Linked DNA regions of Coturnix japonica. The main gene of each other region encodes a partner of the protein of the gene in region 3 in a complex. Links are inferred from orthologs where the notes say so. Each region holds a gene or a part of one and is shown on either strand. Other genes may lie near its edges.

What was found.
Region 1: the proteins of CPSF6 (region 3) and NUDT21 are in contact, whole or in part, in a crystal structure (PDB 3P5T), measured with the Homo sapiens proteins. The link is inferred for Coturnix japonica from reciprocal best matches to the Homo sapiens genes CPSF6 and NUDT21. Residues at the interface, in NP_008938.2 of Homo sapiens: Trp90, Trp91, Thr92, Thr93, Asp94, Glu95, Lys113, Phe114, Glu116, Asn117, Arg118, Ala119, Asn120, Gly121, Gln122, Ser123; in NP_008937.1 of Homo sapiens: Pro151, Asn152, Glu154, Pro156, Tyr158, Tyr160, Pro162, Ala163, His164, Ile165, Thr166, Lys167.
Region 2: the proteins of CPSF6 (region 3) and TNPO3 are in contact, whole or in part, in a crystal structure (PDB 6GX9), measured with the Homo sapiens proteins. The link is inferred for Coturnix japonica from reciprocal best matches to the Homo sapiens genes CPSF6 and TNPO3. Residues at the interface, in NP_008938.2 of Homo sapiens: Tyr521, Arg522, Glu523, Arg524, Ser525, Glu527, Arg528; in NP_036602.1 of Homo sapiens: Arg620, Asn656, Arg657, Glu660, Arg661, Arg664, Arg667, Phe668, Arg671, Ser698, Cys699, Tyr702, Ile706, Asp709, Asp747, Asp750, Asp751, Arg754, Arg758, Gln761, Cys793, Arg797.

Annotation. Positions count from the first base shown.
Region 1 is NC_029526.1:519,672-530,498, forward strand, and holds NUDT21 (cleavage and polyadenylation specificity factor subunit 5), read right to left. Parts: upstream 6,320-10,827; 5' UTR 6,248-6,319; coding exon 6,132-6,247; intron 5,161-6,131; coding exon 4,960-5,160; intron 3,762-4,959; coding exon 3,698-3,761; intron 3,069-3,697; coding exon 2,979-3,068; intron 2,531-2,978; coding exon 2,455-2,530; intron 2,088-2,454; coding exon 1,973-2,087; intron 1,786-1,972; coding exon 1,764-1,785; 3' UTR 1,501-1,763; downstream 1-1,500. Other genes in the region: E3 ubiquitin-protein ligase AMFR, read right to left, coding at 294-386, 716-907; prolyl 3-hydroxylase OGFOD1, read left to right, coding at 6,473-6,626, 6,710-6,855, 7,315-7,361, 7,428-7,528, 8,175-8,291, 8,715-8,806, 9,307-9,435, 9,768-9,881 and 2 more. UniProt on the Homo sapiens protein: Component of the cleavage factor Im (CFIm) complex that functions as an activator of the pre-mRNA 3'-end cleavage and polyadenylation processing required for the maturation of pre-mRNA into functional mRNAs.
Region 2 is NC_029516.1:731,403-742,229, forward strand, and holds the start of TNPO3 (transportin-3), read right to left. Parts: upstream 5,598-10,827; 5' UTR 5,470-5,597; coding exon 5,344-5,469; intron 2,816-5,343; coding exon 2,615-2,815; intron 2,000-2,614; coding exon 1,926-1,999; intron 1,686-1,925; coding exon 1,529-1,685; intron 932-1,528; coding exon 788-931; intron 89-787; coding exon 1-88. UniProt on the Homo sapiens protein: Importin, which transports target proteins into the nucleus. Specifically mediates the nuclear import of splicing factor serine/arginine (SR) proteins, such as RBM4, SFRS1 and SFRS2, by recognizing phosphorylated SR domains.
Region 3 is NC_029516.1:32,103,115-32,111,443, forward strand, and holds the start of CPSF6 (cleavage and polyadenylation specificity factor subunit 6), read left to right. Parts: upstream 1-1,110; 5' UTR 1,111-1,199; coding exon 1,200-1,259; intron 1,260-8,328; coding exon 8,329-8,329. UniProt on the Homo sapiens protein: Component of the cleavage factor Im (CFIm) complex that functions as an activator of the pre-mRNA 3'-end cleavage and polyadenylation processing required for the maturation of pre-mRNA into functional mRNAs.

The DNA.
Region 1 (10,827 bases), on a different chromosome or scaffold from region 3:
TAAGAAATCTGGCAATGTGTACAAAGGGTTTGCAAGTTGACCCCGAACTTGTAAAATACCATTAAACAATGATGAAGTTCCCTCCAGAAAAACACTGGAAGCCTCTAACTGCAGATACAGGAGTATCTCCTGGGGAGATTGTTTTCTACATGGTGCTACTGGACAGCACGCTCAGCACTGAGAACTCCAGCACAGAGAACTCAGAGATAGGGCTGAAATGTGTTTTAAAGCTTATTTATACTGTGTGTTCAGCAGTTCCACGTAGCAAACACAGCAGTGCTGTGCTGCCTTACCTGCCTCTCGCTGACTCGCAGCGGGCCGAACACCGCGCGCTGGATCAGCTTAGCGACCAGCATCAGGACACAGCACGCCGTGTTCACCAGCACCTGCACGGAAACAAAGCAGTCAGCGACGGATCCTTCTGCCCCGCTCCGAGAGGAGCCCAACAGAGGCTGCTTTGTGCGCCGCGCAGCTCTGATGAAACGTAACCCTGCCCTCCGTACGACACGGGCCGATCGCTCATCTCGCTTTCTAGAAACGCGAACCCCTCCCGGCAGAACGCCCGGCAAACAAAGCTGCCGCTGCCCGAGGAGCCGCTCACCCGGCCCGGCACGTTCTGGCGCTAAGGGCCTCCATGTCGGCACGCGGAGCAAGACTATGGCCCCCAGAGCACCACGGCCCCCAGAGCACCACGGCCCCCGTCGGCCCGGCTCACCCAGACGCAGAGGCTGTCGGACAGCAGGTAGTACGCCACGTCCAGGGCCCGCGGCCCGCCCGCCCGCTGCTCGCCGGCCGCGCTGAGGGCGCGCTGAGCGCTGAAGGCGGCGGCCAACAGGGCCAGGCCGCTGAGCGCCGCGTACGTGCGCAGGCTGGGCCAGGGGAAGCGCTCCAGGAACAGGAGCGGCATCGCGGAGCCCCGCGGCCGCCGCCGCCTCTCGGCCCCGCTTCCTGCGGCCCTTCCGCCCGCCGGCGCCGCCCCTCGGCCCGCACCGCCCCGCGCTGAGTCACCGGGCGGGACTCCGGCAGCGCGGCCCGCGCTCCTTCGGCGCCCAGAGCTGCGGCGCGGCCCTGCGGCCTTGGGCGGGGTTACGGCGGCCCCGCTCCCGGGTAACAGCGAGAGAACGGAGCGCCGGGCGCACGGTGCGGGCCGGCTGGGCTGTCGGAACGCTGCAACAAGAGCCAGGTGCTCGCACGGCTGCCCGTGAACGGAGAGGCACCGTGCCTGGAGCTGCTGCCTGCACACCGCGCTGCTATAGCGCCTACAGTCAGTCCTGGAGCTACATAAAATATCCAGAATCACTAAGTTGGAATAGACTCTGAGATCACGGAGCCCAACCATCCACATCCCTCAGTGCCGCTCCTCTCCAGCACCTCCAGGCACTGGCTGCACCACCTCCCCCAGCAGCTTTCAGCATCTGCCGTGTACTTCCAAAGTTTCAGTCGCATTCTTCCAACTAGAAGACAACTACAGGAAGAACAAACTCCACAAAAGACAACCAGTCGGTTCCATCTCGTTTAATGTCGTACAAAAAAAACTGGTGAGTATTACAATGGAAAGTGATAAAATCACTGACATCACGCTGCCATCCTGCTACCTAAACAGCTGAGATTCACTTCTCTATTCATACAAGAGAATCTTAGTGGCCTTCGGGAAAGGAACAAAAATGAAATCCTCGAGTCAACACATTCTTTTTTCTACATCATAAAGCTGTGCTCACAGAGACGGCTTCTTCAATCAGATTCCTCAGGTGTTGGACAGGAACTCAGTTGTAAATAAAGTTGAACCTAAAATTGGAAGAGTTACACCAAGTGAGAGACTTCTATTCCATTTAATTAACTGACATTCTGGAACATGAACAGGCAAACGTTTTTATTCCTGAGCAGCCTCCACCTGACACAGCAAAAGTGATTTATTTTGCTTTGCCTTAAGGCCCGGGCTCCCAGAACCACAGTGCAAGCAAACACAACGTACCTGCTCAAAAGCTGAGGAAGGCTGGAAATAATGGGTCCGTATCCTGGTGCATTGTCATAGAGCTCAAACAACGGTGCAGCTACAAGCTTGTAATTTTTGGGGACTGCAAACAAAGCTACCAATAAATAAAGCTGGTTAGTATTAAATGAAAAATATCACCAAGCATTCAGGCAAGGGTACTCCCAACAGATCTCAAAGCAAGATCATGTAGCACTAGACTACCAAAGTAGGTTTATTCCTTTCAAGCTTAATTGCAGGGCTGTGCACACGATGTAGGAGCAGGAATGGGACTTTACTGGGAACCTGTGTTCAAACAACCACCCGACTTCAAAACTGATACCAACATTTATTTTTATAATGATTAACTGTAAGCAAATGAACCACAAGAATATGAAAACAAACCTGCAGCCACATTTCCTTGCATGAAATACATGCATTGATAGTTTGAGAAATAAATTGCTCTGTTGCAAACAAACACTTACCCTTTTCTTGAAGCTGGACTAAGAAAAGCTTCTTGTGTTCTTTTGGTTTAGTAATGTGAGCCGGGATGTAGGGGTACTGGAAGAAAAAAAAAAGATGCTTGAACAGAGCTTTGAAAGTACTGTAGGCACCAATTCTTATTCTCAGCTAAACCAGCCTGACAAGACAGAAATGCACAACAGCAAACTGAGCAAGTGTTCTCAGCATTTAGAAATAGAGGGGACTATTCACAGGGCGTGAGCATAAGTGCTGCAAAAGTGACCACTGTGGTTAAAACGGGAACTTAAATGGAGTGCCTAGCTCAGCACAGGGCAGGGTAGATAGGTGTAAGGAGGCAGAGGGAGCTTCCAGAAGAAAAACTTTGTAGTTTGTCTTCAGTCAAAGAAAGAAGACTGAATAGCTTAACAAAAGCCCCCAAGAACTAATGGCTCATGCAGCAAGCACTCCAAAAGCCCAAGTGGCTCCTTCAAGGCTTTTGGAAAAACAAATTATATTTAAGAAAATGAAAGTCAACGTAAGTACTCACCTGTGGAGGTTCAAAGTTTGGCCTCCACCAGTTACCAATGCAGTCATCAATCACCCAGTCCTGTTGGACGCCATCCTGACGGCCCAGGATCTATCAAATACAGCTACAGTCAGAACACTAAATACTCCGAGCAATACTGTAGAAAGTGCATTCTGGCAGCATGAAGAGTTGCTCTAATAAGGGTATGATGTAGTCCAGAGCTATTCTGGAATAGTTTTTAATGTTTGGTTGCTTTTACAACGTGGCTTTTTTTGTTTTCATAAAATCCTCACCTGACAGGACATTCTGAATTGCACACTACATTCAGCCAAACTGAGTGCCATAAGACCAATGAGAAGAAGGAAATGCAGTGACACTACCTGACAGCAATCGTTTTGATAAAGTTGTTAAGAACGTGGGGAAAACTGGCTCAAAAACAAGTTGTCATCCTCACACTGTGCTCAGCTGTGTATCCTGCTGCACATCTGATGACAGCCCAAAACACAAGTTGCACATGAACACAGGACTCGGGGGGAAGACAGACCACTGGGTTACACTCTCATGAGGATAAGCGAGAGCTTACTGTAATACTTTGTTGTTAGTGACCTGAGAACATTTTACAGCATTAAAATGACAAGTGACGAGGAGACTGCTGCAGTTCTTTGGCTATTCTACTAACTCTAACATCATTCAACATTCCACAACATTCTAGTATTGCGACATAACAAAAGAAAACAGACCTCTGTCATTAAGCGTTTGAGCCCTTCTACCTCATCTTCTCCTGGATTGAGTTCACCACCAGGTCTGTTAAAATAATCAATGATTAAAGCTAGAGTTATGTTTTACAGTGTTAGCAGACTTTCACAGGTAAGTTTGGACACATTTCCATGCTTGCAGCTACAAATTCACTCAAGGTTTTTGCATTTGAGGTTCTAAATCTAACCATGCCCAATCTGAAGACAATAGGGTAGATTTCACCAAGACCATCTCTAATGGCTGCTACGTGCCCCTTAAAAAACAAAACAAAGCAAAACAGGCCAACAATAATAACTTCAGTGGGATGAAGTATAACAATATACATAATAATGATAGAGACACTTAGAAGGTTAAGTTTTAACAATAATAGAAAAGCACTGAAGTTGAAGAAGGGGTTGTAAACACCAGCTGTGCTTGTTCTAATCTCAAAAGCAGTACTTAGTGACGTGTGCAGGAAGCATAAAACTCAAGTGGAGAATTATCCTGCATTTCATGCAAGGATAATGAGAAAAATGAAGATACATTCTCGTCATAGTTGTTTGCAAAGGCAAACAATGTGCCTATTTCATCTACATACATGCCCCATATCAAAAAAGAATCTGGATATAGAGATAATTTTACTCCTCACCTGAGACCAAACACTGCAAATGTTAAAAACATAAAACCAAGAATACAAGGAGAATCACCTGTCCCAAGTCGAACCATTTTAAAATAAGAAAACAAGCGTGACCACCACTATAATCATATGACCAAAACTTCCTTCCAGTTGTGATAACACTGGAATAATTGAAGCACTTCCCTCACAAATTGAGATTCCTGTCCCTCTTATACCCAGCTGACCCAGCAGTTTGTAAATTCATAACCACTACTCATTTCCCAGGGTTTGCCATTTTTGCAGCCGTAGCATAAGTGTATTTAAGCATAACAGCTTGCACAGTGTAAGACCAAACCCTGACTACCAGCAGGGCTTCCAACAGGAACCTACCAGAGTGCAACAAAGATTTCCAGAGACTTTAGAACCAAGGCAACTCTCCACTACCCACGAGTAGAGTCAGATAAATACATTTTAGAGGGAAATTTCATCATTTTAAAAACAGTTCTCACAAACCATGCGCTTGGAACAAATGAATCTCATTAAAAACACCAAGCAGAGTTGGCCACATCTTACTTTGCGATATGTACATTTCAAGAGGTCTGTAATTTTCTGGTTGGACTAAGAAGGTGCTTTCAAGAAGCAGGCACTTACAGCTTGAAAAACGTCGTCCCCAGCTGCAGTAATAACACGTGGGGCAGCCGGTGCTCGTGCACTATCAGAACTCCTTCCACTGTCCGCCTCATGCCAATCTTGTCAAACTCTTCTCTCATGCGCTGGAACCGAGCAGCCACTGAACTGTCCTTCTCATAAAGGGGCTCCTTTGTGCCAAATGTGTAATTGGTGAGAGGATACCTAAAGGGGAAAAAAAGTATTACTACATAATAAGAAAGCTAAATTGACACCTCTAGCACGCAGTGTTCACCCTGCAGCTGAGCCTTCTGTACTCGAGGGAGCAGAAACTCACTCATTGCAAAGGACTACAAGGTCTGGGTTGCATGCTGCACTGCACACCCCATGCCATGCCAAGGGCTGCACCATGGCTCATGAGGGCAGGAAGTCATGCCGGTGGGATACGTTGTCATGGTGCCAACCCAGAAACAGGCAAACACAACCAGAAGCATCTACAGCTACTCTGCAGCCACCTGCTTTGACTCCGCAGCCTGGAGAAAAGGGAGAGGAAGCTCCTCTCTTGTCCCTTTAAGCCTTCACTAAGAGCAGCCCTGCAGAGGTCTTGGGGCTTCTGATGGATGAAAAATGAGACATGAGACAGTGTGCTGCAGCCTGGAAAGGCAAGAGAAAGGCTGCATCAACTGAGGGATGGCAACACGAAGAGAAAAGGGACTGTCCCCTTTGCTCTGTCCTCACGAGACCCCACCTGGAGAATTTGTGTCCCCCAGCATAGGAAGGGTACGGAGCTGTTGTAGCAGGTCCATAGGGAGAGTGATTTTTTACACAGGCAGCGATAAGATGAAGTGAATTAAGACTAAAAGAGGGAACATTCTTTACTCAGCGGCCGCCCAGAGTTCGGGCTGCTCCATCCCCGATGGTGGCCGAGCAGCGGATGGTGCCTGTGCAGCCTTTGATGGCGGGGCCGTGTGTGTCCCCCCGGCTGGTTGTTCCCGCAGCGCTGTGAGGCCCCTTTTCTCCCCGCCGTTCCGGACTCTCACTATTGCTATCACTATCACTATTGCTATCACTATCACTATCACTATCACTATCACTATCACTATCACTGTCACTATCACTATCACGCACCGCTCCCCTCCCGCTCCGACCCCCGAGCGGTTCCAGCCGGTTCCTCCCGCCCCCAGCGCGGCCCTCACAGGTTGATGGTCCTCTCCAAGGTCAGCGGCTTAGTCTGCTGGATGTACTTGTTCCCGAACTGGTTCACCCCGCGGGGCCAGCCGGTCTGCGAGCGGTTGGGCGGCACCACGGACATGGCGGGAGGCGGCGGGAAGTCGATCCGCCATACAACTCCCGGCGGGCCAAGCGGCCCCGCTCTGCCGGAAGCGCCCGCCTTCCACTTCCGACGGCGCCCGCCGCTGAGTCGTCCCTCCTGGCCAATCGTAGGGCGCCCTACCCCTCTCCCCGCCCCCCACGCTCTCTGATTGGCTCGGCACACGCAGGGACGGCTGGGATTGGTAGTTCGGTGTGCGGCGGCGGCATGGGGGCCAAGCGGCGCGGAGCGGCGGGCGGGCGCGGTGTGGAGAAGCGCGGGCGGCGGGAGGTGGAGGCCGAGCTGTGTGCAGCCATCGGTGATGTGGAGCTACGGGAGCGGGCGGCAGCGGCCTGGGACGGCGGGGAGCCGCTCCGGCACGGTACGGGATGGGCCCTAGGGGGGGTCTAGCGGCTTTCATCCTACTGCCGCCTGCCGAACTGACCGCCCGCTTTGTCCCCGCAGAGGCCGTAGCGGTGGAGCGGGCCCCGTTCCGGCACGGCGTGTTGCGCGGCCTCTTGGCCAGCCCGGCATTCGCGGCGGCGCTGGGCGATGAGCTGCTGGGCCTGGGATACAGGGAGAGACGGAACGACCTGCTGACAGTGCACCAGGTGGGACGGGACGGGAGCGGGGCTGAGCGACAGGGAGCACAGAGTGCACTGAGCGACATAGAGCACAGAGTGCACTGAGCGACATAGAGCACAGAGTGCACTGAGCGACATAGAGCACAGAGTGCACTGAGCGACATAGAGCACAGAGTGCGCACTGCCTGCAGCCCGCAGTGCCACAGCAACACCACTCTGGGACACCCCAGCGATGGTTGACACCCCCCCCCTCCCCGTTGAGCTGTGCCGTTGCCTCATTGCTCTTTCAGAGCGCAGATGTTCCCCAATGGCCACCCTGACCCTCTGACAGAACACGAGGCCATCGCTCTCACCTTATCACTGTCCCCTGGGAGCAGAGGCCAACCCCATCCTCACCACAACCTCCTTTTAGGGGTTGCAGAGCCGTGAGGTCTCCTTCAGCACCTTCTTCAATGCTTTTCTCCATCTCTCCCCATGCTGCCGCAGTCCGAGGAGCTGGGGGCCAGGCCGGAGCCCCACGTCAGTGCACTGAGGTAAGGCAGCAGGGTCCACGGGGCAGCACATCCTGGGCCTGCCTCACCCTGTGCTTTGCTCCCCAGGCGGGCGCTGAGCGGGACCCTGCGAGCGTGGCTGGAGGCTGTTACCCACATTGAGCTGGAGCCCTCCATTGACATCTCCTGCGCCAAGTATGAGAGCACAGGTCAGTCTGCCCACCAGCCTCCTGACTCCACATGGCACCACCCAAACCCCGAGTCTGAGAGCAGCGTCCTAGCGCTCCCTCAGCTCTGGAGCTTGGGGCTGAGCCCACCACCCAGTGAACCACAGCCTGTCCCTAACGCCTCCTGACCCTTCCCCATTACTGTGGTCATGCTGCTTGCAGCTGCAGCAGGGCCCAAGGCTGGTATTCCAACCCTGGATGGTGGCTGTTCCATCCAGGCTATCTCACCCCTTGCATGCACGTTGCTATGGCAGGCAAGGAACACTTGTACTGCTTGTAAGTCTTCTATGCAACCAACTGCTCAATGCTCAGGGATTCCCTTTCCCTCCACTGCAGCACAAACATCTTGCAGGGCAGCTGTGTATCAAAAAGCAGACCTTGGTTAATCCACCCACTGTGGTGGGTGACAGGAATTGTATTTCCACATCTTCAGAGTAGGTTAATTACAGTAAAATCCCACAGAAATTAACCTTGTGGTGTTAGTGCTGCCCTTCCAAGAACTGCATTTTCGCCTCTCAGCATGTTCTTTCTTGTACAGTTGCAGGGAGAAAGCTGAGAAGCAACCACTGAAATTAATCATAGGTATACTCAGCACAGCTTTACTGTAGCAAACTGTGTGTTCTTGCAGATGTACTGCTGTGCCATGATGATGAGCTGGAAGGCCGGAGAATTGCTTTCATCCTGTACCTCGTGCCGCCATGGGAGAAAAGTGACGGAGGGACACTGGACCTGTTCAGCACAGATGGTAAGAGCTCAGTGTTAGTTGACTGAAAGAGATGACCTTTGTGCACCCACCCCTCACAGCAGTTCTATGAAGAGTATTTCCTTCATTCAGAACTGATATGTAGATAAAACTTGCACCTTGCAGAGGGGGTTGTAAGTCTTTGTAGACAAAGCCACAAAGCCAGTGGGTGACAGCAGATTTAACAAAGAGGGGAATCCTTTTTTTTTCCAAGAAGGCGGGGTAGAAGCGATGCCAATAACTGTGCTTGGGACTTAAAAGGGACTAAGTAATTCCCTTTCCAACAACAGAAGTCCTCTGATTTCTCATCAAGCCCTGAGCTCCAGCCCTTATGCTGAAGTATCCCACCAGTTAGCCATGAAGTCAGAACCATCAGCTGCTAGTAAGTTCAGTATCTTAACCAGAGTATGTTTTCTTCCTCCTCAGAACACTTTCAGCCACAGCAAATCGTGAAGTCATTGATGCCTTCATGGAACACGCTTGTTTTCTTTGAAGTGTCTCCAGTCTCTTTCCACCAGGCAAGGAGCTGCCTTTTTTCATGTCTTTATTCTTGTCTCTGTTGTGGCTATTTGTTCTTTGTGCTGTTACAGCCCTGGGTGGAAGGAGAAAAGGGGAAGGGAGAAGCATGAGCAGTCAGAATAGATACTTATGCTAAGTGCTGTGCATTAAAAGCTTATAACTTTAGGGAAGACAGAAGCTGGCAAAGCCAACTTTAAGCTGTCAGCCTAACTCCGTCATCTTGGGGGAAAGAAAATCCTACCATTACTTCCTAGCATAGAATAGGGAGCATAGAATAAAAGGTCAGGTGGGGATTTTGGATATCTGCAAGGGACTCGAGCATCAACATTTGTTTTAGCTCTCTCTCTATGAACAGAGAATAATCCAGCTTCTTGTAGCCCTTGGCTGCCTCCTCTCTGAAAGCAGTAGGTTCTCATGAGGGATGAGTCTGTGTAACCAATTACAGCTACTCCTTTCATGTTATGTATTCTAAACTGACGTGCTGCTGATGTTGTTCCAGGTATCAGAGATTCTGTCGGAGGAGAAGTGCCGCATGTCAGTGAGCGGCTGGTTTCATGGCCCCCCAATAGAGCGACCTGCACGCTACATCGAAGCTCCCTTGCCCAGGAGCCCACACATCCCCTACGATGTGAGTAGCCAGTGTCCACTGAACTGCATTTACCTTTCTTTCATGTCTCTCAAATACCTGTTCAGGACACGTCAGTGGTTGGAGATGCTTTAAACATTAGCTTATCCAAGTCTCCTTTTTGATTCCTGTCCATAAATTTGTAGATAGTTTCCCTCCTATATATCTCTCTATATATATTTTATTCTGTCCCCTGTGCATGACAACAGTAGTATAGAGAGGTCAGCAATGGAGTGGGTGGGTGGAATGTAGTACTATGGGCAGCTGGGCAAAGAGGAATTGGGGAAATGCTTTTACTTTTGCAAATATGTTGTTCACATCCATTTCCTTTCCAGCATGAAATCTTGTATAAGTGGGTCAACGTAGTTTATTTGGACATGGACTCCCAAGCTCAAATCCAGGAGGAATTTGAGGAGCGATCAGAAATTCTCCTGAAAGATTTTCTTAAGGTGAGCTTTGTGCTTCCTTGCAATGTGGTTACAGGGCTGGTAGTGTCCTCATGTCATGCATGACCTCCCGAAGTCCCTTCCAGCCTCAGCCGTTCTGTGTTTCTGTGGATAGATAACCACTGCCTGCCTGTACACTGCTGTGCAGGGATACATCAAAACCTATAAGCTTTGCTTCAGCATTCTCATTTCCTGCTGGAAACAAAGCAGAAGGATGGAATCACATCATCCTTCCCATGATAACCAGAGTGTTCTTATCTAAGCTGCAAGAGCTTAGGGGAACTCACCTGTATGTGAAACAAACAACTTGCTGTGACTTTGGCTTACTTGAATGGCTGTGTTTCTCAAGGCTGATTTACCCCTGGTTTGCTGAGCATCCATATCTCAGCGAAATTGCATTCTCACCCAGCCAACAGTTAAGTAACATTTCATACCTACCAGGTCATGGCCATTAAAAATTCACAGTGCCCACCCAGACTATGCTCTTCTATTCTGCAGTCACTGGGAGACAGGCAAGTTAAAGAAAACATTGAGAATGCCTTATATGAGAGTACAGGATGGCTGCTTGCACTACACTGAGGGAGACCTGGGGGCTAAGGGTTAATGTTTCAGAACTCTTTCTTTCCTAGAAAGAGAAATTTCAACTTCTGTGCGAAGCTTTGGAGAACAAAGACATCCACTGGAGTAGTCGGGGGCCTCCTAATAAAAGGTAGGAAATGACAATGCTGTTCCATTGATCACACCAAGCAGGAGCTGCCATGAGGCTGCACTGACCAGTGCTGCTGCCATGGATGTGGCTCTCATCGATTCTCTGCTGCTGCTATTTGCTGTCTTCCAGACTCTATGAGACAGCAGAGGAAGACAGCCTCCCTGACATCCTGAAGGACTTCCTGCAGTTCTTGCGCTCAGAGGCCCTGTTTTTACTGCTTTCCAACTTCACTGGTCTAAA
Region 2 (10,827 bases), about 31 Mb from region 3:
TGGTCTCCACATTCTCAATGGCATAGAGCGCCGAGCAGACGCAGTCTGAGGCGGCCTCGTGCAGGTTGGAGGAGGTCTTGTCTTGTTGCTGCAAGGAGGAGGAGGAAAAAGGGAAGATGGGTTTGGGCGAATGAGATAGATCTGTATGTTGTGCCATACACGGGGCAGCCCAGAGCACTGCAGGACGTGCATTGAGTGTTGTCTGCTCCTTCTGCTGAACAGGAGCTCTTGTTTGCATTTGTCCTTTGTTTAATTTGCACCATGGAACAGATGCAAATGAGCTTCCTGTTAACGAGGGGAGGAAGCGATACAACGTGGGGCTGCACCTCCAGAAAACGTCAGAATCCCTTTGCTGCTGGTGCTCTGCCATGTGCATAAAAGCACAAAACCCCTTTGGAATTAAGCAATAAAAGTGTCAGCAAGGGAATTAAATTTTCTGCTGAAAACCTGATTTTCAGCATTGATTTCAGTGCTAAGCAAACGCAGTTTGTTCAAAGAAGAACATAGATGAAGAAAATACATTTTTCTCCTACCCAAGGAATACAGACAACTCCTCAAACCAAAAGCAACCCCGAAACTTCATTTCATGACTATGGCAAACCGCTGACCAAGCTGCAAACCTGGCCGTGGTGGTGATCCCCGGACAGGCTGGAAATGGCATTACTCAGCCACGCCACCCCCAAAATTGGGAGCCCAGAACATTCCCATCCAACACAGGGGATGGAGTTATAGGAAGAGAAGCAGCACCATATGGACTTAAGAGCACCACAACAGGAGGGATACTCACCAACACCTCAAAAAGGAGCGACAGCAGCTTGCTGTTGGCCATGAAGGTGCTGTCCAGGACCCCCAGGTTGAACCAGCTCCCCAGGCACCGGAAGATTTTGATGAGCATCTTCTCATCATTGCCTGCTTTCTCCACACACGTCATCTATGGCAAGACAAGAAAAACCACTTGCAGCACTCACATGATTTGAGAAATGAGGTTGGGGAAAGACAGGCATCCTGGAGACTGCGGGGTGACCTTCGTGTCCCCCAAGGGACGCATGGTTTGGGTTCTGGGTGCTGCCATGCAGAACCAATTGGAGTCAACAATCCTCACGGGTCCCTTCCAACTTTGGGGTATTCTAAGATTTAACGATTCTAGGATCCTAAGGCACCAAAAAGGTCATGCTGGGCTCCCAGAGATCCTCACTGGGCTCATAAATTTCCAAAGGCAGGTTCTGCACTTCAGCCCAGCCCAGTGAAGATCTCTGGACTCAGCCATGAGATTAATTACATTTATCTGTACTCAAACACTGAGAACCAGAAGACAAATCACTTAATGGTTTAGGACCTTCAATCCTGCAATGGTCTGGGGCCAAGGGGACCCTCTATCCCAGAATGGTTTGGTGTGGAAAGGAAATCCAATCCCAAAACTGTCTGAGGTGGATGGGACCTCCTATCCCAGAACTGTTTGGGGTGGAAGGGAAACTGGGAGAAGACCCAATGGAGAACATGCCCCATGCACTGCAGCACATGCCCTTACCAGCAGTGAGACAACAGTGCTGGAGTAGTAGGCCAAGTCCTCGATGATCTCAGTGCGGCGGTTGGCCCCGATGCGCAGCGAGCGGCTGTGCACCTCCTCGGGCAGCACCGTCAGGATCTCCAGCAGGAAGGGCAGTGAGGTGACATCATTGCTGTACCTGGAAGCAACCGGAGCATAGAGAGCACGTGGGCAGGGGGCAGAAACGTAGATGTGGAATCCTAAGCGCTGTCACATGTGGAGTGATGGATGGGAATTCCACCTCTACTCAGAGGCGATCTGAGAAGCTCTTCTTTACGGACTGAGCCACAGAAACACCCCCATTGCTGCCCCATTTGCTGCCATGTGTCTTTTCAGATCGCACAGGTCTGTCCACCAGCAGACACAAACCATCACTTACTTTTCGACCAGCGTCTGCACGCAGCCCTTCCAAGAAGCCATCTGCAGGGCCAGGTCTGCTATTGCTAAAGCGAGCTGCGAAGGAGAGAAAACACAGCTTAGAGTGGAGATGCAAAACCCTCAAACATCCCTCATTGTGGGATGTTTGTGGCCCCTCTGCTCCCCAGCCATCCCATCTCACTGAGCACCTCCACCCCAGCTCAGGAGGGGCATTCCCAGACAGCTGGCAGGAGGAGCTCTGCGGGCTCCCTTCCTTCAGATTGCTGTCTGTGTTCCAATAGTACTGGGGGGAAAAATGAGCTCAGGTTTGGCAGCCCAATGGCCCTGCTGCACAGCTGATGCAGGCTCGGTGCCCCACGCTTGGTGCTGGGTTACTTAAAGACTTGGCTGGGCCGCACGGCACCGCTGAGATTTGGGATAATGGGATGGGAGGGGTTTCCCAGAACACAACAGTGTCCGCAGGGGATACAGAAATCAAATCAATGGGGACAAAGCATTGATCAGTTTAAATACAGTTATCAGATGGAGACAGGGAACAGTATCCTGTGCTTGGCATCCTGTGCTTGGCTCTCCTTGCTCTACAATGGAGGAAAAGCAGCCAAGAAGACCTCGGGAAGAGCTTTGGTGGCAAAAATCAGCTCCAGGGGAAGCCCTAACCCTGCTGGGAGCAGCCCCAGAGCCTCCCCCTACCTGGGTGACGATGACTGGCGAGAGGTCCTTCAAGTTCTGGATGTGGGACAGCAAAGAATCACGCAGGGACGCGTGTGAGTCGGTGGGGAGCTCGTAGAATGAGGTCTGGATCTTCATCTTCATCGTCTGTGCTGCAAAGTAGCACGACTCCACATCCTGCCGGATCTGCAGGAGCTGGTCTGAGATCTCCCAGGCGTGAACCTGTGGGTGAAGGCAGAGTATTAAAGATGCAAACACACCTCTACATTCCCTGCACCAACACCATTAGCCACACGATGAACTCCCCGTCACCAAATATTGGTCTACTGAACACTGGACATGGGGGCTGAGGCTGATGGTGGCACCCAACTGGAGCGCCAGTTTTTGTTTCAGTGAAATTGCTTTGTTCCTCTGAAATCCACCTTTCTTTCCCTCAGCCCCAACAGCTCCCATTAGTTCCCATCACTGCATGCACCAGACACAGTCCCAAAGGGTTTAACCGATGAGAAGTGAGGCTGGGAAGAGGTGGATCCATCATGGGATTGGGGAATGGTTCAAGCAAGGGGGGCTCCTGCAGCCCCTCAGTGGTCTGGGGTTGGCAGGGGCCTTCAGCCCACCTTGCTCCAAACCTTCTCAATGCAAACCCTAACACACTAATCCTAAAGTGATAACTCTAATCCTAAACTAAAAATCTTAACCCTAAACCCCGACTGCATACTGAAAATGAAGGCTCGTTCCTCCCTTTCCCCACACTCAGCTCCTTCCACAGCCTGTGTGAGGATTTCTTCTACCTCCCAATCCCACCCTGGGCTTCCAAAATGACTTTGGGCTGCAAAGGCCGGGTGTTGAAGGTGATGACAAACACAACAACCAAGATGGGCGCTCCAATAAAGACCAAGGCCCTAATGAAGCCCCTAACCTGAACAAATACCACGGCCAAAGGTTTCTTAAGGTTAATTAGGGGTTACCCTTCTACCTTGCACTTCCATATTCTCATTCCGTTAGCTTTAGGAATAGAGCCAAGGAACACCGTTATCAGAATGAGCCATCAACACGAGCCCTGCCTGGCTCCTATCTATCACTAAGCCAAAAATCCACCTCAAAGCACAACCACACTGCACTAAGCCATCACTAAAAACCAACCGTGCTCACAGCTCTATGCACAGCAGCATCCACAAAACACTTGGAGCTTGGTTACATCCATGGGACACCTGTGAGGCAGGAGGACAGCGAAGGCATTTGGGTTTTCCACCTCCCTAAAGCCCACAGCTCCATGTGCTCTGCAGCTCAACCTCTGCACGGCTCCATTGCTGCCAACCACGAGGACCAAGACACTCCTGAGGGGCTACAGAGCCATTCCCGGAGCAGAGGGAGTGTCCAAAAGGGAATCAAGGACCTCTTGGAAGGCACCAGAGCCACTCCAGGAGCTCCTGGGGGACACTAAGGCTGTATCAGGAGCTCAGGGGACCTTCTGGGGTCACCACGGAAGCACTGAGCACCATCAGGATTGTACCAGGAGCACTGGGGATCAATTGGGGGATACTGGGGAGCTCTTGGAGGGCACCAGGACACTCCTCAGGGCATCAGAGCCATACTAAGAGCGCCTGGAGGGCATCGGGACCCACTGAGGGGCACCAGAAACCCTGCAGGGGGAATGAAGGAAGCCCTGGTGGACACCGAGCCACTCCTGGAGGGCACCGTGACACCCCACGGCCACGCTGAGAGCACAGAGGATCCCTGGGGAGCACCAGGGAGCTCTTAGGAGGGATCCGGAACACTCCCGGCAGCACCGAGTCTCACAGATCACAGAATGACCCAGGCTGGAAGGGACCTCAAGGATCATGTAGATCAAACCCCCCTGCCTGGCAGGGCCACCAAACATACACCTTTACTAGATCAGGTTGCCCAGGGCCCCGTCCAACCTGGTCTTGAACATCTCCAAGGACGGGGCATCCACAACCTCCCTGGGCAGCCTGTTCCAGGGCCTAACCACTCTCCTAGTGAAGAACTTCCCCCTAACATCCAACCTAAATCTTCCCTCTTTTAACTTAAAACCATTTCCCCGTGTCCTGCTATTGTCAGCCCTTTCCAAGAGTTTACTTACTCCTGGGAGTAAGTTCCCTTCAGGTATTGAAAGGCTGCAATGAGGTCACCCCGCAACCTTCTCTTCTCCAGGCTGAACAAACCCAACTCCCTCAGCCTGTCCTCATAGGGGAGGTGCTCCAGCCCCCTGATCATCTTCCTGTCCCTCCTCTGGACCCTTTCCATAATCTCCATGTCTTTCTTGTACTGAGGGCTCCACACCTGGACACAGTACAACAGATGGGGCTTCACAAGAGCCGAGTAGAGAGGGACGATCACCTCCCTATCCCTGCTGACCACCCCTCTCCTGATGGAGCCCAGGATCCCATTTGCTTTCCGAGCTGCCAGAGCGCACTGCTGGCTCATGTTGAGTCTCTCGTCCATCAGGACCCCCAGGTCCTTAAGGACCGCTCCTCCCAGCCTGTAGTGCCTGGGGTTCTTCCAGCCCAAATGCAAACACTTTGCCGTGCTGAACCTCATTACGTTCACCCAAGCCCAGCTTTCCAGCCTGTCTCCCCTATGAGGACACCGGGCCATCCCTGTGTGATCACCGGACCCCCCGGTGCCGCTCCCCGCCGCTCCCCGCCCCTCTCACCTCCCAGAACCGCCGCCCCCCCAGCTCCAACTCCCCACCCACCCCCCCTCCACGTGCTGCCCCCTCCCCGCACCGAGCGCTGCAGCTCGCCCAGCCAGCAGCTGGCCCGCTCCTTGCCGCTGGGGTCGGGGTCGTGGTAAAGGGCCTGCACGGCTTGGTACACCAGCTGTAAGCTGGGTTGGGCCCCGCCGCCCTCCATGGCCGCAGCCGCCGCTCTCAGGGCCGCCCTCCTCCTCCTCCCGCCGCCATCTTTGGGGCCTACGCGCCGGTACCGGAGCGCGGCGGTGCGACGCGAAATGTGTTCCCCCCGGAAACTTCGAAACGGGAAGTTCCGCCCCGCAAGGAAATGAGTTCCGCTCTTAATTTCCTGTTCGGTGGTGTTACGCCAATAGCGCTCCCTCCCGGAAACAAAGTTCCGGTCAAATCACCCCAATGTGATCCCATTAACCCCCCTGCGATCCTATTAACCCCACTGTGATCCCATTAACCCCATTGTGATTCCATTAACCCCACTGGGATCCCATTAACCTCATTTGAATCCCATTAACTCCACTGGGATCCCATTAACCCCATTGTGATCCCATTAACCCCACTGGAATCCCATTAACCCCATTGGGATCCCATTAACCACACTGTGAGCCCATTAACCACACTGGGATCCCATTAACCACACTGGGATCCCATTAACCCCATTGGGATCCCATTTACGCCACTGGGATCCCATTAACCCCATTGTGATCCCATTTACCCCACTGGGATCCCATTAACCCCATTGTGATCCCATTAACCACACTGTGATCCCATTAACCCCACTGCGATCCCATTAACCCCACTGCGATCCCATTAACCTCAATGGGATCCCATTAACCTCATTGGAATCCCATTTACCCCCCTGCGATCCCATTAACCCCATTGTGATTCCATTAACCCCACTGGGATCCCATTAACCCCATTGTGATCCCATTAACCCCACTGGGATCCCATTAACCCCATTGGGATCCCATTAACCCCATTGGAATCCCATTAACCCCATTGGGATCCCATTAACCCCACTGTGATCTCATTTACCCCACTGGAATCCCATTAACCCCATTGTGAACCCATTAACCCCACTGGGATCCCATTAACCCCACTGGGATCCCATTAACACCCCTGGGATTGCATTAACACCCCTGGGATCCCATTAACCCCACTGCGATCCCATTAACCCCACTGGGATCCCATTTACCCCATTGGGATCCCATTAACCCCACTGGGATCCCATTAACCCCACTGGGATCCCATTAACCCCACTGGAATCCCAATTAACCCCATTGGGATCCCATTAACCCCACTGGGAGACCATTAACCACACTGTGATCCCATTAACCCCACTGGGATCCCATTTACCCCATTGTGATCCCATTAACCCCACTGGGATCCCATTAACACCCCTGGGATCCCATTAACCCCATTGGGATCCATTAACCCCACTGGGATCCCATTTACCCCATTGTGATCCCATTAACCCCACTGGGATCCCATTAACACCCCTGGGATCCCATTAACCCCACTGGGATCCATTAACCCCACTGGGATCCCATTTACCCCATTGGGATCCCATTAACCCCACTGGGATCCCATTAACACCCCTGGGATCGCATTAACACCCCAATGTGATTCCATTAACCCCACTGCAATCTCGTTAACCCCACTGGGATCCCATTTACCCCACTGGGATCCCATTTACCCCATTGTGATCCCATTAACCCCACTGGGATCCCATTTACCCCATTGGGATCCCATTAACCTCATTGGAATCCCATTAACCCCACTGCGATCCCATTAACCCCACTGGGATCCCATTAACACCCCTGGGACCCCATTAACCCCATTGGGACCCCATTAACCCCACTGGGACCCCATTAACCCCACTGGGATCCCCTTATGCCAGAGGGGCGCTGTAACCACACTGGGATCCTATTATCCCATTGGGATCCCATTAACCCCACAGTGACTCAATTATCCCTCGTTGGATGCCATTGCCCCATTGTTTCCAATGAGATCCCATTATAGCAGGTGGGATCCTATAATCACTCTGGGATCCCATTGTTTCCAATGAGATCCCATTATTATCCTATAACCACTCTGGGATCCCATTGACTCCAGTAGGATCCCATTATCTCCACCGTGATCTCATTGTCCCGGTTGGGTCTCATTATGTCAATGGGACTCCATTAACCCCACTGAGATCTCTTATCTCAGCTGGATCCTATTAACCCCCATAAGATCCCATTATCCCCAACCAAGTCCCATTATCCAAATGGGATCCTAATGGGAAATAGGTTGGGTTGGAAAGGTCCTTTAAGTTCATAGGACTGTGGGATGGTTGGGTTGGAAAGGTCCTTTAAGATCACAGAGACATAAGATGGTTGGGTTGGAAGGGTCCTTTAAGATCATAGGGCTGTGGGATGGTTGGGTTGGAAGGGTCCTTAAAGGTCACAGAGGCATAGAATGGTTGGGTTGGAAGGGTCCTTATAGGTCACTAAAGCCATAGGATGGTTGTGTCTGGAAGTCGTCCTTAAGGATCACAGACATAGGATGGTGGTGGAAGGGTCCTAATCACTAGTAATATGAGGTTTGGTTGGAAAGTCCTTAAATATCACAGACTGACATAAGATGTTGCGTTGGAAGTCCTTTAATCATACACTGGGGAGTTGGTTGGAAAGTTCCTTAAAGATCACAGAGCATTAGATGTTTGTGAAAGGTCCTTATTGGATCAAAGGAATATTGGTGGTTGTGTAAGGGTCCTTATAATATCATCAAGACATAAGATGGTGGTGGAAGGGTCCTTTAAGAGAATTACACTGTGGAGTGGTTGGGTTGAAAGTCATTAAATGATCACAGAACCATAGATGTTGTTGCGAAGGTCCTTAAAATCCAGAGACATAAGATGGTTGGGTTGGAAGGGTCCTTTAAGATCATAGCACTGTGGGGTAGTTGGGTTGGAAAGGTCCTTAAAGATCACAGAACCATATGATAGTTGGGTTGGAAGGGTCTATAGAGATGACAGACCCTTTGATTGGTTGGGTTGGGTTGGGTGCTGTTGGAAAGGTCCTTAAAGATCAAAGAACCGTTGCGTTGAAAGGGTCCTTAAAGATAATAACGCACCAAATGGTCGAGCTGCAAGTGATCCCGGAGCCCCCCAACCCCAACCGGGGGCTGAATGCCTCCCCCACCCCCCCGATCCTTACGGGCACAGTTGGGTGAGTCACATCTGGATGGGGGGGTTGGGGGGGGAGGCGGGGCACATCTGGGCGGGGCAGCCCCTGGCAGGTCCTGGCAGCTCCGTTTTGCTCCGCGGCCCCGCCCGGTGCAGCAGCGGCATCACCGGGACCGGCGCCAAACGGGCGGTGCCGGAGCCGTTCCGCTGCTCCGAGCGGCGCCGCGACGCTACCGGTGAGGGGCGAGGGGACCCCCGGATTGGGGGAGGGGGGAGGTGGGATAGGGACAAAGGGGGGCGGGACCTCGTGCTGCCCGGCAAAGGGGCGTGGGGGGTCTGGGGAGGGGGGGGGCTGCTTCTGGTGGGGCTGCTCTCAGCGATGCACTGCACTCATCCTGCCCCATAGCTTCCCCCATAGAGGTTCCGCAGTATGCCCCATAACCAGCCTGGACCCCTGCCCTATAGCTGCATCACTGCCCGCCCTATAGATGCTCCGTAGCGTGTCCTATAGATCCCCTCCACTCCAACCTATAGCTGCCCTAAACTTTTGCCCTACAGCTGCCCTACTGCATGTTTTCTAACTGCCCCACACTCCACCCTATAGGTGCTCTGAACCTGTGCCCTATAGCCACCCTATAATTACATACATACCCTATAATTGTCCTACAGCTGCCTGTAGCTGCCCTGGACCTTTGCCTTACAGGCATATCTCAGTCCACCCTATAGCCTCCCTATACATGCCCTATAGCTGCCCCCAGCCTCCTATTCCCTCTCCCCCTCCCCTCCCACACACACCAGTGTGACACCAACGGGGCAGCCACTGTGGGGGCTCAAGGACAGCATTGGGGACGGGATCAGGGCAGGGCTGGGGCCAGTGACATCCCTGTGCCCCCAGACACAGAGCAGGACAGTGTCACGGCACCCTGAGCACTGACCCCACGCCTCGCCATGGCCACCAACTCCCCTGTGTTCCCCATTGGCTCTGGGGTGACAACAGCAGTGCCACGTGAGTGTCCCCATATCATGAAGTCCCCAATGCCATTCATTATCCAATCCGGTTTAATGGGGGTCCTCCCACTCACCATGTCCCATCCTTGGAGTGTCCCCATCAGCAGTCCATGGGGTGTCCCCATGTTCCATCATTGGGGTGTCCCCATCCCCTGCCTATGTTCCATCACTGGGGCGTCCCCATCGCCAATCCATGGGGTATCCCCATCCACTGCTCCGTGTCCCATTACTGGGATATCCCCATCCCCTGCCCTGTCACATTGTTGTGGTGACCCCATCACCAGTCCATGGGGTGCCCCCATGTCCCATCATTGGGGTGCCCCCATCCTCTGCTCCGTGTCCCATTACTGGGGTATCCCCATCCCCTGCCCTGTCACACTGTGGTGTCCCCATCCCCCACCCCATGTCTCCATCAGGAAGCTATGGGGCTCCTATGAGGCTTTGGCACCTTTGGGGTGTCCTAGGGCTGGGATGTGATCACAGGGTCCTCCTCATTTGGGATCATGTTGTAGGAGTCCCCGAAGAGTCAGTGCCAGATACGGTGGTGTTGGTGTGCGCCTTCACCGCCGCCTTCATTGCTGTGGCCATCGTGGTAGTGGTGGTGTGTCGGTGTTGGAAGCGCTGCTGTGGGAGAACAGGTGAGGACATGAGGACGGGGTGGAGTGGAGATGGGGTGGGACTAGGATGGGATGGGGGTGGTAGGGGGATAGATGGGGATGGAGGTGCTGTGCGGCACAGCCCCCATCTCCCTGTGGTTACAGCCCAGGACCCTGCAGCATTGGAGGGGAACATGAACAGTGCGGCGGTGCCCATGGGAACCCCGAAGAGCCCAGAAGACTGAGCCCTGCGGGAGCCCCACGCGTGTCCCCGTCAATACAATAAAGCTCCGCTGCTGCCACCGCCTGCATTCATCATTGGGAACTCGTGGATACGCCCCCTCCCCTTAATCCCGCCCCCACCCCAAAGCGAATGCACTCAGGGCATTGCCCAGACCCCGCCCCCTGTTTAGACCCCGCCCCATTTGGTTTAAGCCACGCTCCTTATGTACAGACCCCGCCCGATCGCTGCATGTGTCCCCATTCCATTCCCATTGGTGTCCCATTGGTGTCCCATTGGGGACAGGTGCCCTCCACAACAGTGATGCCCTCCTCTCAGGTAGTAACTGTGCCCCAAAAGCAAACTTTTTCCCCTCAAAAAATGACTTTCCCTCCCTAAAACCACCTTTTCCCCGTCCCCACAAAATCAATCTTCCTTCCCCCAAAAACAATTTTCTTCACCCAAACTTTCTCTCCTCACAAAACATGATTTTTCCTTTAAAAAACCCCAACTTTCCCTCCCAAAAACTTC
Region 3 (8,329 bases):
TTTTAAATCTCCACACACAGTGCCTGGATACACTCTAGTAAATGTTTCTTCAGGTGATATTCTGAACCTCTCCAAGGGGCTTTCCAAGGAGTGCTTGGTTTGTTGGTTAGGAAAGCTCTCACAGCTGAGAACAATCCCAGCTGTAGGTTTTTTTGTTTGTTAACACATATAACAGCACAAGAGGCTGTTGTATGTATGTATAATGTGTGTGTGTGCCACAAACTGGATGAGAACTCCAGGGACAACCTGAGCATCTCCATGCCCAAAGTACAGCAGGACTCAGCAGGCTGAGCCAGTGTGAGGGCTGAAGCAGAAACGTGGTCATGAGAGAGACCTTGGTAGCACAGCCTGGTCTGGGAGACGAGTCCTAATGAAGTTTGTTGGGGACAGCAAGTGACCAAATGACTGCAAGCCTTCCAGACCCATCTCTGAACAAGAGAGCACACAGATGAGCAGGTGTGTTCCCTCAGCTCTTCTTTCACACTAGCTTCCATCTGATAATACAGCTGGAGCTTTCTTCCTTTCAAAAGCAGGAGGAAAAAGGGGCCCTGACAGAGATATGCATAAGACAGCAGCCCATACTTTAAGCCTGCGTGATCCACAGCATACCCATTGCTGTGGCTCTCTGATTTTTCACCTCTTTTCTGTCAGGAAAAGACCAACCTTTCCTTTCAAAGAGAACTATAACGCAAGAGCACCAAAGCACAACACGAAGCAGGGATGCTCAGGGCCACAGATGCTGATCCAGGAGCACTCCCACTCACGGAAAAGAGCATTTTCAATCCACCTGTGGTCTTTAACACTCTTTCAACCCGGTCTAGAGAAACACAAACTTCTCGTTGTCAAAAGGCAACTTTATTTTCGGATGAGAAACACCACACACAATGGAGAACACACTGTGTTCCGGGATCGAGGGCGATCCTCGCACCTCGCGCCGCGACCTGGCAGGGGCGCTGAGGGGGAACGGCGGGGCTCTGAGGAGCGGCCCCGTACTTCGCCGTGTTCCGAGGCGGGCTCGGGCCGCTTTCCCTGCACTCTGAAGGGGCGGGCAGGGCGGGGCGGCCCCCCAAGAAGCGGCAGCCGCCGGAAGTTCCCCCTCCTGGCTCGGAAGTGACGCCGCGTGCACCTTCCCCCTCCCGGCAGCGGCGGCGGAGCCGGGCGCGGCTGGCGGTCGGCCCGAGGCGCGGCCGGGCGGGATCATGGCGGACGGCGTGGACCACATCGATATCTACGCCGATGTGGGCGAGGAGTTCAACCAGGTACGGGTCGGAGCGGCCCGGCTCCTCCTCCCCTCGCTTTCCTTTCCTTCTTCACCCGCCTTCGCCGCCGCGCCGCCTGCAGGGCCCTGTGCGCGGGGCCGGGCCGCGCCGCGCCGCCATTGTTCGGGCGCCCCGCCGCAGGGCGGGACGGAACGGGACGGAGCGAGGCCGCGCCTCAGGCCCGGCCCGCGGGGGATCGGGGCTGGGCCGGGCGGGGAGCGGCGGCGCTCGGGGGCGGGAGGGAAGGAGGGAAGGAGGCAGGGAGGCAGACAGGCCGCGGGCGGGCGCCTTCCCTCCCGCTCTCTGTGCCGCCACAGCCGTCCCGCCCGGGACAGCGGCCCCTTCCCGGCCATTGTTCGCAGCGCGGGAGGAGCGGGGGAGCGCAGCCTCGTGCTGCTGGCAGCAATGCCGCCCGCCGGCTGTGCCCGCAATGCTCGGGCTCTTGGTGAGCCGAGGGGATTTATTTGTGTGAGGAAGTGGCGGTGTAACGCGCACAACTTCCTGCACTGCCGTCTGATTTCTCTGGTTTCTTTTTCACTCGCCTTTCCCCAAAGCCGCCTTCCTCCCTTCCCACCGAAAGGCGATGTTGTCGTCGGGTTTGTGGAACATCTGTTCCATGTGCGGGTGCCGCACTTCTCTGGCTGCACTGCCCTAAAACAGGTCCCATAGTGCTGCCTGTGTGGAGTGGGAGCAGGCGGCAGGGTTGGGATACGCAGCTCATGTTACCAGCAACTTTATTTCTTTCAGTATTTGTCGGTAAATTAATTTAGATCGATAATCTCCTGAAGGTATAGCATATAGCTACGCCATCCCTCGTGAGCAGATGACAGAGACATGTGCAGGTTTCTCCCTGACAGCTGAAGACCCATTAGATGAATTTACGTGGGGGTGATGTACAGCACAAATACCATTCAGCATAAAATATAATCTTTGAGGCCTCTGCCAGCCCAAGCTGTTCTCTGATTCTATCTCAGCAGCTTCTGTAGCAGCTTTGGTTTTGTGTTAGTCAGTTCCACGTAAAAAAGTGATAACAAACCAAGTTCTTCAGAAAAGATAGTTTGAATCCAGTAGTACTTGTGTAAATTCGTATAGGGGGCAGGCCTCGAAGTGGTGCAGTTTGTGGCTGTAACCTCAGTGAAGACAGATTTTTTACTTGCTTTAATTTTTGCAAGACATTTCTGTTTCTTCTTTTCTAAGCCTGAGTTCTGGGGCTTTCATGTTGTCTCAGAACCTACTCAGCTGAACTGTATTTCATTAAAATAGAAAGTTGGACTGGCAAAGATTGGCACCTCTGCACTTTCCATTTCCTTCTGCAGAGCAGGAACAAAAGCCAATTGTTACCACCTACAGCGCTGCTACCTCTAATTCTGATGCCATTGTGATGAGTCCTCTTGAAACCTCTATTCAGGGTTTCTGATTTGAAGCTGACAGCTTGAATTAATAGGAGAGGACTTACAGTTCAGCATGGCTGCGGAGGGGTGAAGATTACAATTCTCTAATGCTGTAGGGGGAAAATGATGGCAATTTGATGGTAATTTATGTAACAGGTGTTTTATGCAATGCTGTATTTCTAACGAAAATTTGTTTTATATGTAAAACAACATACTGCTCTTGAGTTGTGTGGTGCTGTGTCCGCTTGCTAGTGTTAGTTGGACTGCAGGAGCCCCTTCCATTAGTTTTGTTGGTAGCAGGGACTGGAAACATGCTGTGCAGCTTTTTTCATTCTTCCAAATACGGTATAACTGTATTTATTAGTAAAGCTGGGACAGCACTTTTGTGTTTGTAGGAAATAAATCTCTTAGGATTCGTGGTTGAGTGAGCCCTTCGTTGCTCTGTCCTGCTCTGAGCCTCAATGTGCTCACTATTGGAGCTCTTTAGAATCATAGAATTACCCAGGTTGGAAAAGACCTTAAAGATCATCAAGTCCAACCGCAGCCTAACCAGTACCCTAACTCTAACAACCCTCTGCTAAATCATATCCCTGAGCACCACATCCAAACGGCTCTTAAACACATCCAGGGATGGCGATTCAACCACCTCCCTGGGGAGCCTATTCCAGTGCTTAACTACCCTCTCTGTAAAGAAGTGCTTCATAACATCCAACCTAAACTTGCCCTGGTGCAACTTGAGGCCATTTGGGGATTTGTTTTCTGCCTGCTTCTATGAGGTGGGAGGATGTTCCACCTGATTAGCACTAGATGAAGTCCAGGTTACAAGGCTGAAGTAAAAACTCCAGCCCCCAGGTTTTCAGGCTGGCTGAACTGAATGAAAACTGAGACCTGTCTTGCAGCCAGCTGCAGGTTGCAAAGAACTGGCTGGCTGGACTTGAAGTCACATCTTTGCAGTGAAAGCACAACTTTCCCTTCCCATCTGGCGCTCATCAAAACCGTATGTGCCTGTGTTGCCTCTTTCATTAACCTACTGTTCATCATAACTGTGTCCTTTGTCCTTGTGTCTAATGCTTTACTCAGTTTGTCTCCCCTCACTTGTATTTAAATTGGTTTTAATTCCCATTTCATTTCCCCCTCCCCTTCTTTTCTTGATAATTTGTCTTCTCAGCTGACTTCCCCATCCAGCAGTGTTTTGTATTTACGCAGTGTCATGTTCTGAACCAACAGTCCCATAACCGCAGTATTTTTGCTCGCATCACTTGTGACCTGTACGAAGTATGTGTGGTGTGGTGTGTTCTGCTTTGACCATTTCCATGCAGGTCTATGCTGTGCATTATCTGCATACAGATGGCCGAAGCATCCTGTTGGTGGCAGAAGATCGCGGTAAGATTAGAGGTGCTTTAGAAAGTGTTAAGAGTGTGTTTTTGTACTTGGGAGTACTGAGTGTCACGGCACAATAGTCTTGGAGAAAGCAGCCTAGAGGCTTCTTACATGGGAACCACAAGGGCTGTGAAGTCTTAGGAACATGTTACTCTCTCGACTTTGTGTCTGGAACACAAAGAAAAATACTTTTTGTTTAATAAATGATCATTATTGGTTGTGTAAAAGTAACAACTAAAAACAGCCGTTACATCAAGAAAGCAGTTGCTGCCTTGGAGGGGCCGGGCATGTTGTGACATGATACATTTTTACTCAGAAGGGCAGTACTGTCTTGGTTGTGACTCTTTAAACGCTCTTTAAAAAGAGTGTGAGATGCCTTACTTCTATGTATGGCTGGTTTTCCTTGGTTGTCTTGGTCTACTAACCAAGAGATCTACTGAAAGGGCCCTGGGTGTAAGAGATAACCTTTGTTATTTGCAAATACCACGCTGCAAAGAAAACCTGAGACCATCTCAGCTGGGGCCTGTTAGCTTTGCTACAATGCAAACAGTGACACTGCCTACACTGCCTTTATGCTTTTGGCCTTGTGTGAGTTCTTACATTAGCCAAGGAATTAGACTGCTCTGCTGCGGACGTCTGGGCCTGTTGAAGTTAATGGGAGTCTCGTGGCCTAACAAACTTGTCCACCACGGGCTGTGTGCTGTTTTGGGAACATCAAGGGTTGTTGTTTTATTCCAGTTTGTTTATGCATTCAGACAGCTAATCAAAACCAGAAAGACTTCTGCCTGTTCCTTCAACTTGTGATACTTTTTTAGGACCTGCGGATGTTTTATAAAGTGAGATTGTTAGCATCCATGTAACGTTTTTGACTGCACATACTGTAACTTTGAATTGAAATAGCAGTAAAGGACAAGGTGAAGAATTTGCTTTTTAATTATTAAGTGCTCTTCTCAGAAATTATAGAAAGATTTAAATGGGATTTCAGCTTTTAATATCTTTTTGGGAAGGTAGTTTTGCATTTGACTCTCAAATAGAACGGAGAGAAGAAGGGGATCTCAGATGAATGCACAGTTCAAAGAACTTTTAATCCCACACACACAAAAAGAGGAAAAAAAAGGACTGTTTTCCTTTGTAAGAGGAGTGGGAGAACCCAGGTATTTTTTGCCATGCACAAGTGGAAGGCTGCTAAGTTTCAAAACAAAGTATCGCTTTTAATTTATCCCTCCTGGACATGGTGGTGATGCTCCATGTGTTTGTCTTTCCTACTTCAATGTTGCAAAGTGCTGCAGGGGGTGATTAAAACACAAAATACATGGGAAGGGCTGAGGAACTGGTCGTTGAAAACAGCTCGTCTGGGGCAAGTTTTTGACAGTGTATCTTTTCAATGCCCTTTGTATTCACTGAAGCCGAGACTGAGTAACACCGACAGTGAAACTTCAGTCCTGATTTTCCAGAGCAAACGTTGTTTGATTTCAGATAGGGATCTTGTTAAAGTGTGATGTGTGGAAACACTGCTGCTCTGATTTGCGTATAGGAGGAGTGGCACTGATGGTGCTGACTGTCTGTAAGGATGTTTATCTGTAAGAGTGTGAATGACGATGACCAGAAATCCTTTCACGCTCCATGGCTTTTACTTAAGGAAGTTGGAAGATGTCAAAACCTGCACTGCTCTGCTGATTTTCTGTGCTGTGATGGTGATCTGAAAGCCTATGGAACAGAAACTCAATCCAGCTCGGAGGAGTTTCTTGCCAGTAAGGAAGCACAGCGTAGCTGCAGACTCTCACCTGCTCCTGTTGGTGTTTTGGCAGTGCTGACCTCAACCTTCTCAGAGACAGAGGTCAGCATACGTCTGCTGTAAAACTGGTGGCTGCTTGTTTGGCTTTGGCCTCCTAGGCTGCATTCTTCTTTCCTAAAGTCATCATCTACACACAGAAATGGCAAGAATTGCTGCGTGTTTAGCAGAGGATTTCCTTAGTTGCCTTGTGACATCACTCTTGATCTTACCGTCAGATAGCATGTTTCAGCCTGTCCCAGGCAGTTCTTTGGCTTTAGTTTCGTTAATTACAATGATATGAGAAATCAGCTGTAGGTGGAGAACTGAACAGAATGAGTGAAAACACAAAACTTTATTAACTCAGTGATGATAAACTCACTTGGGAAAACATTAATTTTTTGTTGAAGTTCAGTGTTGTGTATTGGGCCAGTGCAGTTCAAACCTACTTGAGTGACAAAGCCAAAAATTGCGTATCTGGTTTTATTTATTCCAGTGATATCTTCTCTAAGAGCAGCAGCAGCGAATAATGAATGTTTTCATATTTTCAAGAGAGCTGTTCATCTGAGGATGGCTGTGGATATAGTTGGTTTTCAGCCAAGATTGCTCGCTTTGCAGCTTGTTTGCTGTGGTGGAATCCACACTGATCCTCTCTAGTCACAGTATCTGCTATTCTGAGTTACGCTGTCGACGATGCTTGTGTGGGTTTCTAGATAGAGAATCACAAGATAACAGCCACTGAAATATCTCTGATAAAAACCTGGTGAGGCGGTTTCTGTTCTGTATCATTGTGGATGAGTCCAGGAATGCTCTGAGAATGTTTGAAGTTCCAACCTTTGCTTATGGTGAAGCAAATTTTGCATGTCAATATAAAGGCTCTCCTAAGCTTTTTCCGTAACATTTCAGGGAACAACAGTGGTCTGCCTCCCTGTCAGTAGAAACTGTGTTGATGCCTCTTTTGAGATAAATTGGGCTGCTTTATCATAAGTGATTGCTTGGATAGCAGCATCCCAGTGTGGGAATTGATCACTGTAGAATATCACAGAATCACAGAATGGTTTGGATTGCAAAGGACCTTCAAACAAACAAACCAGATCCAAGTCCCTGCCATGGGCAGGGCTGCCACCCACCAACTCAGGCTGCCCAGGGCCCCATCCAGCCTGGCCTTGAGCGCCTCCAGGGATGGGGAACTGCAGCTCTGCTGAGCAGTCCGTGTCAATGCCTCACCATGCTGAATGTGGAGAATTTCTTCTTTATATCTAGTCTAAACCTGCCACCTTATGGTTTAAAGCCATTACCCCTTGTCTTAACACTACACTCCTTGCTGAAGTGTCCCTCCCCACCTTTCTTGTAGGCCCCCTTCAGGTACTGGAGGGCTCCAATGGAGTATCCCTGGAGTCTGTTCTCCAAGCTAAACAAGCCCAGATCCCTCAGCCTTCCTCCATAGGAGAGGTGTTCCAGCCCTCTGATTGTCCTCATGGCCTCCTCAGGACCGCTGAATGATGAATGGAAGTGTATGAAATTAAATGTGTCATGGGAAATGTTGGGTTTTTCCTTTTTCTTTTCCTTTTTTTTTCTTTTTTTCTTTTTCTTTTTTTTTTTTTTTTCCTTTCCCCTGATGCATTGCTTTACATGGTCTGCCTCAGGCTAAACTTTCTCTGGTCTTTTGGACCAAATACTTCTTCCTGTCTTACAGTTCAAAGGCATCCAAAGGACCACTGGTTGATTTTTGACTCATCTGTTCCCATTTCACAGGTAGTATGTGGTTGTCGAGCATATGAAGCAGAGGTTTTGTAAATAAACTCATGATTCTGTTCCCTCTGAAAGGAATCCAGTTCACTTGGACAAAACTGTGCTGTAAACTGTACCAACCTGAGGGATGGGGTGATTCACTCTGAAATCCCATGACAGTCTTTTCAACCAGAGTGTTCCAGAGGCTGGCTTGATGTTGTTGAATAGTTCCTTTGTAGCCCAGGAATAAATAAATGTGTAATGCACACAAACCCAACAGTTTATTAAATTTAATGACATAGAGTTCCATTCTTTCTCTCCATGAACAAGGAGATAAAAATCAAATTAGGAATGCAGAAGAAATCTGAAATACAGAATTTCATATCAATTCAGACCACTTTGGGTTTGATTTTTTCCTTCTACCAAATATTTTCATGACAAAAATCACTAGCTGCTATTAGCCTGTTGCTTTGCACATTGTTCATACTTGCTCACATCCGTAGTTGTGGGAATAGAGCTCGCGTTTTTTAGTTTCCTGCTTATATTACAAGGTAAATAGTGTTTCAGTACATAGCAGTTGCTGGAGCTGTGTTTTTGTTTTTATCAGTTCGACATGTGGTAGAAGATGTAAGGATTTTATATATTTAAATATGGATGAAGTCGGGGCTTACTTTTCATTACGGATGTTGTGTAGGTGTTGGGCCAAACTGTCTGTGGAAAGTGGCAGTTGTCGGACTATTTTGTTTCTGAGAAGTGTTTAATGTTAAATATAACCGAGGTGCTTCATGTATTTTAGG